2 linked regions of the Callithrix jacchus genome follow. The protein of the gene in region 1 purifies or fractionates together with the protein of each later gene. This does not show direct contact. Links are inferred from orthologs where the notes say so. Each region holds a gene or a part of one and is shown on either strand. Other genes may lie near its edges.

Region 1 (4,896 bases):
GATGTAGTGGAAAGACAAGAAGAGAAAGGAACATGAGGTTGGGTTAGGGGAAAGTAATCAGAGTAGGAAGAATAGATGACCACTTTGAGGATGCTGACTAAAGATGGCAGGGATGTGAGTCATGTGGGATTAACTGGACTCAACTGTCCAGCATACCCTGCGTATGAAAACGAGGGTGCAAGATGATGCCTAAAGGTTCGCTAATACTTGGACGCTTATAAAATACCTGCTCGTAGGCACTGCAGCCAAGCTGACTCTACTTGTGGTTCCCGACAGAAGGTCTATCTGAGTCACCACTGAATCTATCCCCCCGATTCTGACTCGGGGAAGGAAGACAGAGAAGATGGTTACATACTTAAAAGTAAACCCCTGAGGCCACCTGCAGACAATTCAACAGTGAGGTATTAAAGGAGAAAATGGAAGCCCAGATTTCTGCTTTACATTGATGTCATCTCCTAAGACCTTATAATACATGAGTTTAAATTTATTTGTATTTATGGTGATCTGAAAAGAAAGTTTAAACATGGTTGGCAAAGCAATAGAAGAGGAGGGGTGATTTTTCAAAGGATTTTTCATTTATTTTTCTACCATCGCCACCTAGTGGAGAAAACCTTGAACTTCAGACAGAGGGGGCTAGGGTTTAGGAAAAAAAGAATATAGGGCCTACTGGGTGCCAGGCACTATACTACTTTGATATTGACAAGTTCATTTAATTCTCACAACAGACTGTGGGGTAGGCATTCTTATTCCTCCTTTAGATTTGGAAACTGAGTCTGAGAAGTTATATAGTTTTTCTCAAGGTCACGCTATGGACATCAAAACCCGGGTTCTTAAAGTCAAGGTCTAGTGCCATTTTCACCTTATAGTTCATCCAAATAACTCAACTTCATCTATACGTGTGGCCATGGGAGTAAAATACATACATACATACATATACATACACACACACACACACACACATATGTACATACACACGGAATCTTTGCTTTGTATTTCTTATACGTATTATATAGATTAGTAAAGCACAAATAAAAAGGAAATGGAATTATACTATATATACGCTTTATATCTCTTAATTTTTACTCCCACAGTACATAATAGTTTCCCATAACAATACTTTTGAAAACACTTACGTAACAATAAAGTTGGACACAGAATTACATCTGTATGTAAGTACTGTCTAATCTTGAAATACACCTTAAAAGACTAGGAAAATGTGCTAAAATGCTAACAATGATTATAAGTAATTTTCTATGGCATGTATTTTTTTTTAAAAAGAAATTTTAGGCCTTACATTTATTAAAAGAAGAGATTTGGCCAGACGCTCTGGCTAATGCCTGTAATCCCAGCACTTTGGGAAGCCGAGGCGGGCAGATCACGAGGTTAAAAGATCGAGACCATTCAGGCCAACATGGTGAAACCCTGTCTCCACTAAAAAAAAAAAATACAAAAAATAAGATGGACGTGATGGCGCGCGCCTTAGTTCCAGCTACTTGGGAGGCTGAGGCAGAATTGCTTGAACCCGGGAAGCGGAGGTTGCAGTGAGCCAAGATCACGCCACTACACTCCAGACTGGCGCCTGGTGACAGAGTGAGACTCTGTCTTAAAAAAAAGAGAGATTCAAGAAACTTCACAATTGTCTAGTTTGTTATTATTTAAAAAATTTTTTGGATGGGTTAAGAGTGATCATGTGTCCATATATTTCTATAAATGTTTAAAATCGGTGTAGTATATTTCCAAATTTAATAACACTTTTCAAAACCTGCTTTGAGGTCGGCCCTAGAACCTCTTTTTCCAAGAAGTACTTGCTTCTGTGATGTTCCTGTGATGGTCCTTCTGAGGGACAAATAAAAATAAAAGCTCAGGTGGGCGTGGTGGCTCATGCCTGTAATCTCAGCACTGTAGGAGGCTGAGGCAGGCGGATTACCTAAGGTTGGGAGTTCAAGACCAGCCTGACAAACCTGGAGAAACCCTGTCTCTACTGAAAAAAAAAAAAAAAAAAAAAAAAATTAGCTGGGCTGGTCGCGCATGCCTGTAATCTCAGCTACTCGGGAGGCTGAGACAGGAGAATCACTTGAACCCAGGAGGCAGAGGCTGCAGTGAGCCGAGATCACATCGTTGCTCTCCAGCTTGGGCAACAAGAGTGACACTCCGTATCAATCAATCAATGAAGCTTACGATCCTCTGTCTTTTGCACGATTTCAAATTATACGATGATAAACGAAATAAAATTTCTTAACTCATGTTTCTCTAGCTTTTCTATTAATCTTATTTTTGAGCCTAACTTTTTTAGTTAGAAAAACTTTTAACCATCAAGCCAGGTGTCGTGGCTCAGCCTGTAATCCCGATGACTAAAAAGACTGAGATGGGAGGGTCCCTGGCGCCCAGGAGTTCGAGGCTTCGGCATTCCAGCCTGGGCGACAGAACAAGTGAGATCCTCAAGCTGCTCTTCTGCAGATTAAATAAAAATTCCACGTCTGCCAAATTTCATAAAAGTCTTCCTTCTCCCTCAATTCACTTACGTCCTCTGGTTACCAAAAATGCATGATTAAGATACATATTTTAAAACGAAATATTTACAGAAAAGCAGAAAATAAAATCACAGAACACGGTAATTCATTCAGAGATGCAGAATGCCACACTTGCTTTAATCTGATATTCTATTTCTATCCCTGTCTACGACGTAACTGCACACGGGCACCTCTCATCATTTGGTTGCTAAGGAAACCTAAGGCTCCTGTTTCCGATTTGCCCCTATCACACAGTGGCCCGCGAGAAGAATCTCTAGGCTCGAAGCGCGCTATAAGTGAACCACCCTTGACTAAAAAGGTCAACAATTCTAAAAGGGGGCGAGGGACTTTTATTTGCATTTCTCTGGCCGCCACTGAGGTGAGCATTTCTTTCACCTGCGTACTTGTTTGTATTGTTCTGCTGTTCAGGTCCGTTGTCCAGTTTTCTACTGGAGCCTTTTGGGGGTGTTCTCCATTTCCTTTTAGTTATAAACGACCCGCTGCGGCCTCCTCCTGTTCCTCCCATTCATCAGCCGGGCGCAAAAGACCGGGAAAGCGACGCTCGCCGCTACAAGAATTGCAGGCAGTCCACCGCTCCGCCCCGCCCCGCCGTCGCGCGCCTAGCAGGCTCGAGTGGGGCGCTGCCTCCTCCACCGCTCAACCTCGCGCACGCGCAACACGCTCGCCCAGCGACCCGCCCCCCCCTCACAAATGCCGGGCTCATAGCCGGAAATGGACGCACGGCGGCTGGGGCGAACGGCTGCGGACTACACTTCCCCAAGTGCAGTGCGAGGTATTGTCGGCGGAGATTGGGACAAATGGCCACAGACTACACTTCCCGACACGCCGCGCGGCGAGGTGCGGCCGCCGGGACTAACAGCAGTGGACTACACTTCCCGACACGCCGCGCAAGGCGCTACCAGCGGCCGGCCGAGGGCGGGCAGACGCGGGAGCTGCGGACGTGAGGCATGAGCTGCGCCCTCCCTCGACCCGCTAGCGTCCTGCCGGCTCCCAGAGCAAGGGTCGCGCGGCGCGGGGCCTAGTGGAGGGCAGCAGAGGCCTCAGCGTGCGCACGGGCTGCTGCGGCCGCGCCGGGCGCCGGGGAGAGCGGCGGCCGCCATGGAGGTGAGCGGGCCGGAAGACGACCCCTTCCTCTCGCAGCTGCACCAGGTGCAGTGCCCCGTGTGCCAGCAGATGATGCCCGCCGCGCACATCAACTCGCACCTGGATCGCTGTCTGCTGCTCCACCCCGCGGGACACGCGGAGCCCGCGGCCGGGTCCCACCGCGCCGGCGAGAGGGCCAAGGGATCCTCGCCACCCGGCGCCAAGAGGCGGCGGCTGTCGGAGAGCTCCGCGCTGAAGCAGCCGGCCACCCCGACGGCAGCCGAGAGCAGCGAGGGCGAGGGCGAGGAGGGCGACGACGGCGGCGAGACCGAGAGTCGTGAGAGCTACGACGCGCCGCCCACGCCCAGCGGCGCCCGCCTCATCCCCGATTTCCCGGTGCCCCGCTCCAGCAGCCCCGGGAGGAAGGGGTCTGGGAAGAGGCCGGCGGCCGCGGCTGCAGCGGGGAGCGCGTCTCCGCACAGCTGGGACGAGGCGGAGGCGCAGGAGGAGGAGGAGGCGGTGGGCGACGGCGATGGCGATGGGGACGCGGACGCCGACGGCGAGGACGACTCGGGGCACTGGGATGCGGACGCTGCGGACGCCGCCGCCGCCGCCTTCGGGGCCACCGGCGGGGGCCGCCCGCACCCCCGGGCGCTGGCGGCCGAGGAGATCCGACAGATGCTAGAGGGCAAGCCGCTGGCGGACAAGATGCGTCCTGACACGCTGCAGGACTACTTCGGGCAGAGCAGGGCGGTGGGCCAGGAGACCCTGCTGCGCTCGCTCTTGGAGACCAACGAAATCCCCTCGCTCATCCTATGGGGGCCGCCGGGCTGCGGCAAGGTGAGTGCCGCCTTGGCCGCAGGGCTTTCATAGTTATCTTGGCCGTGAATGCCGCTGGCGGTCCCATAGCCGGGTATGCTGCCCCCAAAGAAGCCGCCTGGCTTGCCTGGATATGAAGGCCCAGAAGTGCAGACGCAGCCTACGTAGCTGGGGCAGTGCCTGGTCCACAGGTGGAGTCTGTGATGGGTGTGAAAACGGCACACACCCCCCTCCCCAGATTCGTAAGGCAGGCTTGCCGAGTTTTAAAAATAACGTTGTCTGTGAATCCATAGTTTTACAAGATGTGGACTCTTAGATTTGATCTGCCTTTATCTTCCATCAGCCTCCCTGCCCGCTCCCCAGTCTTTGATTTAGTAACTGAATTCTCCAGGAATCAGCAAGTTTAAATTGTAAAGAAACATTTGTGTATTCCGTTTGTACCTAATAGTGTTTCAGCTTTGGA
Region 2 (3,394 bases), about 24 Mb from region 1:
TAAAATAGCCTGTCCCAAACCACAAAGCCCACCTCAAAGATATGTTACAAAATATATCCTAGTCCCAAAATGGCTTACCTTCTCAACCTTCTTATCTAAAATTTCTTTCATGAGCTTGCAGAGGTTCTCAAACTTTGCCTTGCTCTCTTCCATTTTCTTCTTCTCCTCCTCATCCTCTGGTAGCTCCAGACCCTCCTTGGTAACTGAGACCAGGCTCTTCCCATCAAACTCCTTTAGTTGCTGCACACAGTATTCGTCAATGGGCTCAGTCATATAAACCACCTCAAAGCCCCGCTTCCGGACTCGCTCCACAAAAGCTGAATTGGCCACCTGCTCTTTGCTCTCACCTGTAGGGTTATTAAATGGACTCAGTGTTCAAAGTGCCTCAGACTGCCAGTTCCCAGGTAGCCCTGAATGTGCTCCCTCTTCCTCCAAAAAGGCTTCGATCAGAACCAACGTACCAGTGATGTAATAGATGGACTTCTGTGTCTCCTTCATGCGAGAAACATATTCTGACAGAGATGTCATCTCATCTCCAGACTGGGAGGTGTGATAGCGCAGCAGCTCAGACAGGCGGCGACGGTTAGTGGAATCCTCGTGAATTCCAAGCTTGAAGAGTGGGAAGAGAAAAAAACAATCCAACTTAACTAAAATAACCTTGCCTTCTATAAGAATGGTAGAATTTATCGTAATTACTAAGAAAGTGGTAAAGGGAATAACCATGTGCCTCCTTACCTTGAGATTTTTAGAGAATGCCTCATAGAATTTCTTATAATTCTCCTTGTCTTCTGCCAGCTCAGAGAAGAGCTCAAGGCATTTCTTAACAATGTTTTTGCGAATGACTTTCAAGATTTTGCTCTGTTGGAGCATTTCTCGGGAGATGTTCAGAGGCAAATCCTCAGAGTCAACCACACCACGGATAAAGTCTGCCATCAACCAGGATGAGAAAACTCAGTAAAAACAGCTAGACCAGACCTGGTACCCAGATTCAAAGAGAAGGCGCTATTGCCCCCTGAACCCTCACACACTATGTATTGCAGAGAACTATTACACCTAGGAATAAGACTTTTTAGTTGCAGAATGTTGAAAACCTTGCCCCAAGACTTCACCCAACTAAATTATGCCAAGGACATACTCACTGAGATACTCTGGTATCAACTCATCACAGCTGTCCATGATGAATACACGACGGACATAGAGTTTGATGTTGTTCTTCTTCTTCTTGTTCTCAAAAAGGTCAAAGGGAGCCCGACGAGGAATGAATAGCAATGCCCTGAATTCCAACTGACCTTCTACAGAAAAGTGCTGAAAGAATCCAAACATAAACAAGTAGTAGTACATTTCCAAAGAGTGCCTTTTAGCCCCAACAAATTACCTAAAAGTGGAACAATGATCCTCCCTAAGCCTAAAGGACAAAGCACACACAACAGGCAGCTCTCTAGAAAACCGAGCCTTAATGCTCTCAATGATCAGGGGCAGACATTACCAAGATTACCATCAGAAGACAAAGTGAGGTCATTAGGAAGGATAGCTCCTCACTGTGACAGGGTAATCAATGAAATCACATGGTTCTCAACATTTCTGTGATCAGGAGGACAAGTTCCATGTGTCTATTACCTGCCAAAACGCCACCTACTCACTCCTCTCCATATTTGTATGTTGAGCCAATGTGCAAGGGCTTCTCACCTTGACTGCCAAGTGGTCTTCCCAGTCATTGGTGAGGCTTTTGTAGAATTCTCCATACTCCTCTTGAGTGATGTCATCAGGGTTTCTAGTCCAAATAGGCTTAGTCTTGTTTAGTTCTTCCTGATCAATGTATTTCTCTTTGATCTTCTTAGTTTTCTTCTTCTTATCCTTACCACTATCATCCTCCTCGTCTGAACCCACATCTTCAATCTTGGGCTTTTCTTCATCATCTTTATCTTCCTCTTCTTTCTCACCTTTCTCTTCCTCTGCCTCATCATCACTAATTTCCTTCTCTCGTTCCTTCTCCAACTAAACAACAAAAACAAAAGTTAGCCTTGAGTACTAACCACTAACAGGGAAAGCAAAAGCCAGGGCCCATGATGACTCCAGAACAGGAAACACCCTGCACGTTAAGTGAAAAAGGTTTAAAAGTCCACACTCACATAGAGGGTGATGGGATAGCCTATGAACTGAGAGTGCTTCTTCACTACTTCTTTGACCCGCCTTTCTTCTAAGTACTCTGTCTGATCTTCTTTAAGGTGGAGGATCACTTTGGTACCCCTGCCAATGGGCTCACCTACAAGAGTCAGTCACAAGCATGTAACAGGGTGAAAATATAAAAGCAGTTAAGACTTCACCAAGCCAAAAAAAAAAAAAAAAAAGTATATTAGCGAGGCTGCTATAATTTCAACTGCTTTACAAACAGGATGCTAAAAATTTCTGCCACTTCACAAGCCCAGAAAACTCCAACCCAGCTTAACTTGTAACGGGAGAGCTTACCATGGTCAGCACGCACAGTGAAGGAACCTCCAGCAGAAGACTCCCAGGCATACTGTTCATCATCATTGTGCTTTGTGATCACAACCACTTTCTCTGCCACCAGGTAGGCAGAATAAAAGCCAACACCAAATTGCCCAATCATGGAGATGTCTGCACCAGCCTGCCAACAAGTTATTTAAAGTCAAACACAAGTTTTCGAAAAGCAACAAACCAAAGCACACTGACAAATATGAATGGTGTGTGCCTGCAAAACTGCACATACCTGAAGAGCCTCCATGAATGCTTTAGTACCAGACTTGGCAATGGTTCCCAAATTATTTATGAGATCTGCTTTGGTCATGCCAATGCCCGTGTCTACCAAAGTCAAGGTACGTTCCTGAGGGTTGGGGATGATGTCAATTTTCAGCTCTTTACCACTGTCCAACTTTGAAGGGTCTGTCAGGCTCTCATAGCGAATCTTGTCCAAGGCCTGAAAATACAAATAGGAATTTGCTTTTGTTTTCCCTTTAAGACAGGCTCTGGCTCTGTCGCTCAAGCTACGGTGCAATGTTAAGGATCACAGCTCACTGCAGCCTGGACCTCCCAGGCTCAAGCCACACTCCCACGTAGCTGGACTACAGGCACATGCTACCATGGCCACTTAATATTTTTTTTTTTTTTGCAGAAACAAGATCTTGCTATGTTGCCCTTAAAGTCCTAGATTCAAGTGATTCTCCTGCCTTGGCATTACAGGTGTGGAGCCAACAGCTCGACCAATTTTTTTTTTTTTTTTTTTTGAGACAAGTTTGGCTCTTGTTGCCCAGGCTGGAGTGCAGTGGCGCAATCTCAGCTTACTGCAACCTCTGCCTCCTGGGTTTGGGTTCAAGTGAATCTCCTGCCTCAGCCTCCCAAGTAGCTGGGATTACAGGTACTCGTCACCATGCCCAGC

The links. Proteins that work in one complex are often made in the same cells at the same time.
Region 2: the proteins of MYLK4 (region 1) and HSP90AB1 purify together in Homo sapiens (affinity purification with mass spectrometry; 3 studies listed by BioGRID and IntAct, counting the BioPlex papers as one, with this or other methods). This does not show direct contact. The link is inferred for Callithrix jacchus from reciprocal best matches to the Homo sapiens genes MYLK4 and HSP90AB1.

What each region holds. Positions count from the first base shown.
Region 1 is NC_133505.1:28,780,544-28,785,439, reverse strand, and holds the start of MYLK4 (myosin light chain kinase family member 4), read right to left. Parts: upstream 3,182-4,896; 5' UTR 3,037-3,181; coding exon 2,915-3,036; intron 1-2,914. Other genes in the region: ATPase WRNIP1, read left to right, coding at 3,630-4,454.
Region 2 is NC_133505.1:52,714,633-52,718,026, reverse strand, and holds part of HSP90AB1 (heat shock protein HSP 90-beta), read right to left. Parts: intron 2,936-3,394; coding exon 2,729-2,935; intron 2,627-2,728; coding exon 2,467-2,626; intron 2,264-2,466; coding exon 2,130-2,263; intron 1,996-2,129; coding exon 1,687-1,995; intron 1,306-1,686; coding exon 1,140-1,305; intron 927-1,139; coding exon 736-926; intron 610-735; coding exon 462-609; intron 348-461; coding exon 79-347; intron 1-78. UniProt on the Homo sapiens protein: Molecular chaperone that promotes the maturation, structural maintenance and proper regulation of specific target proteins involved for instance in cell cycle control and signal transduction. Undergoes a functional cycle linked to its ATPase activity.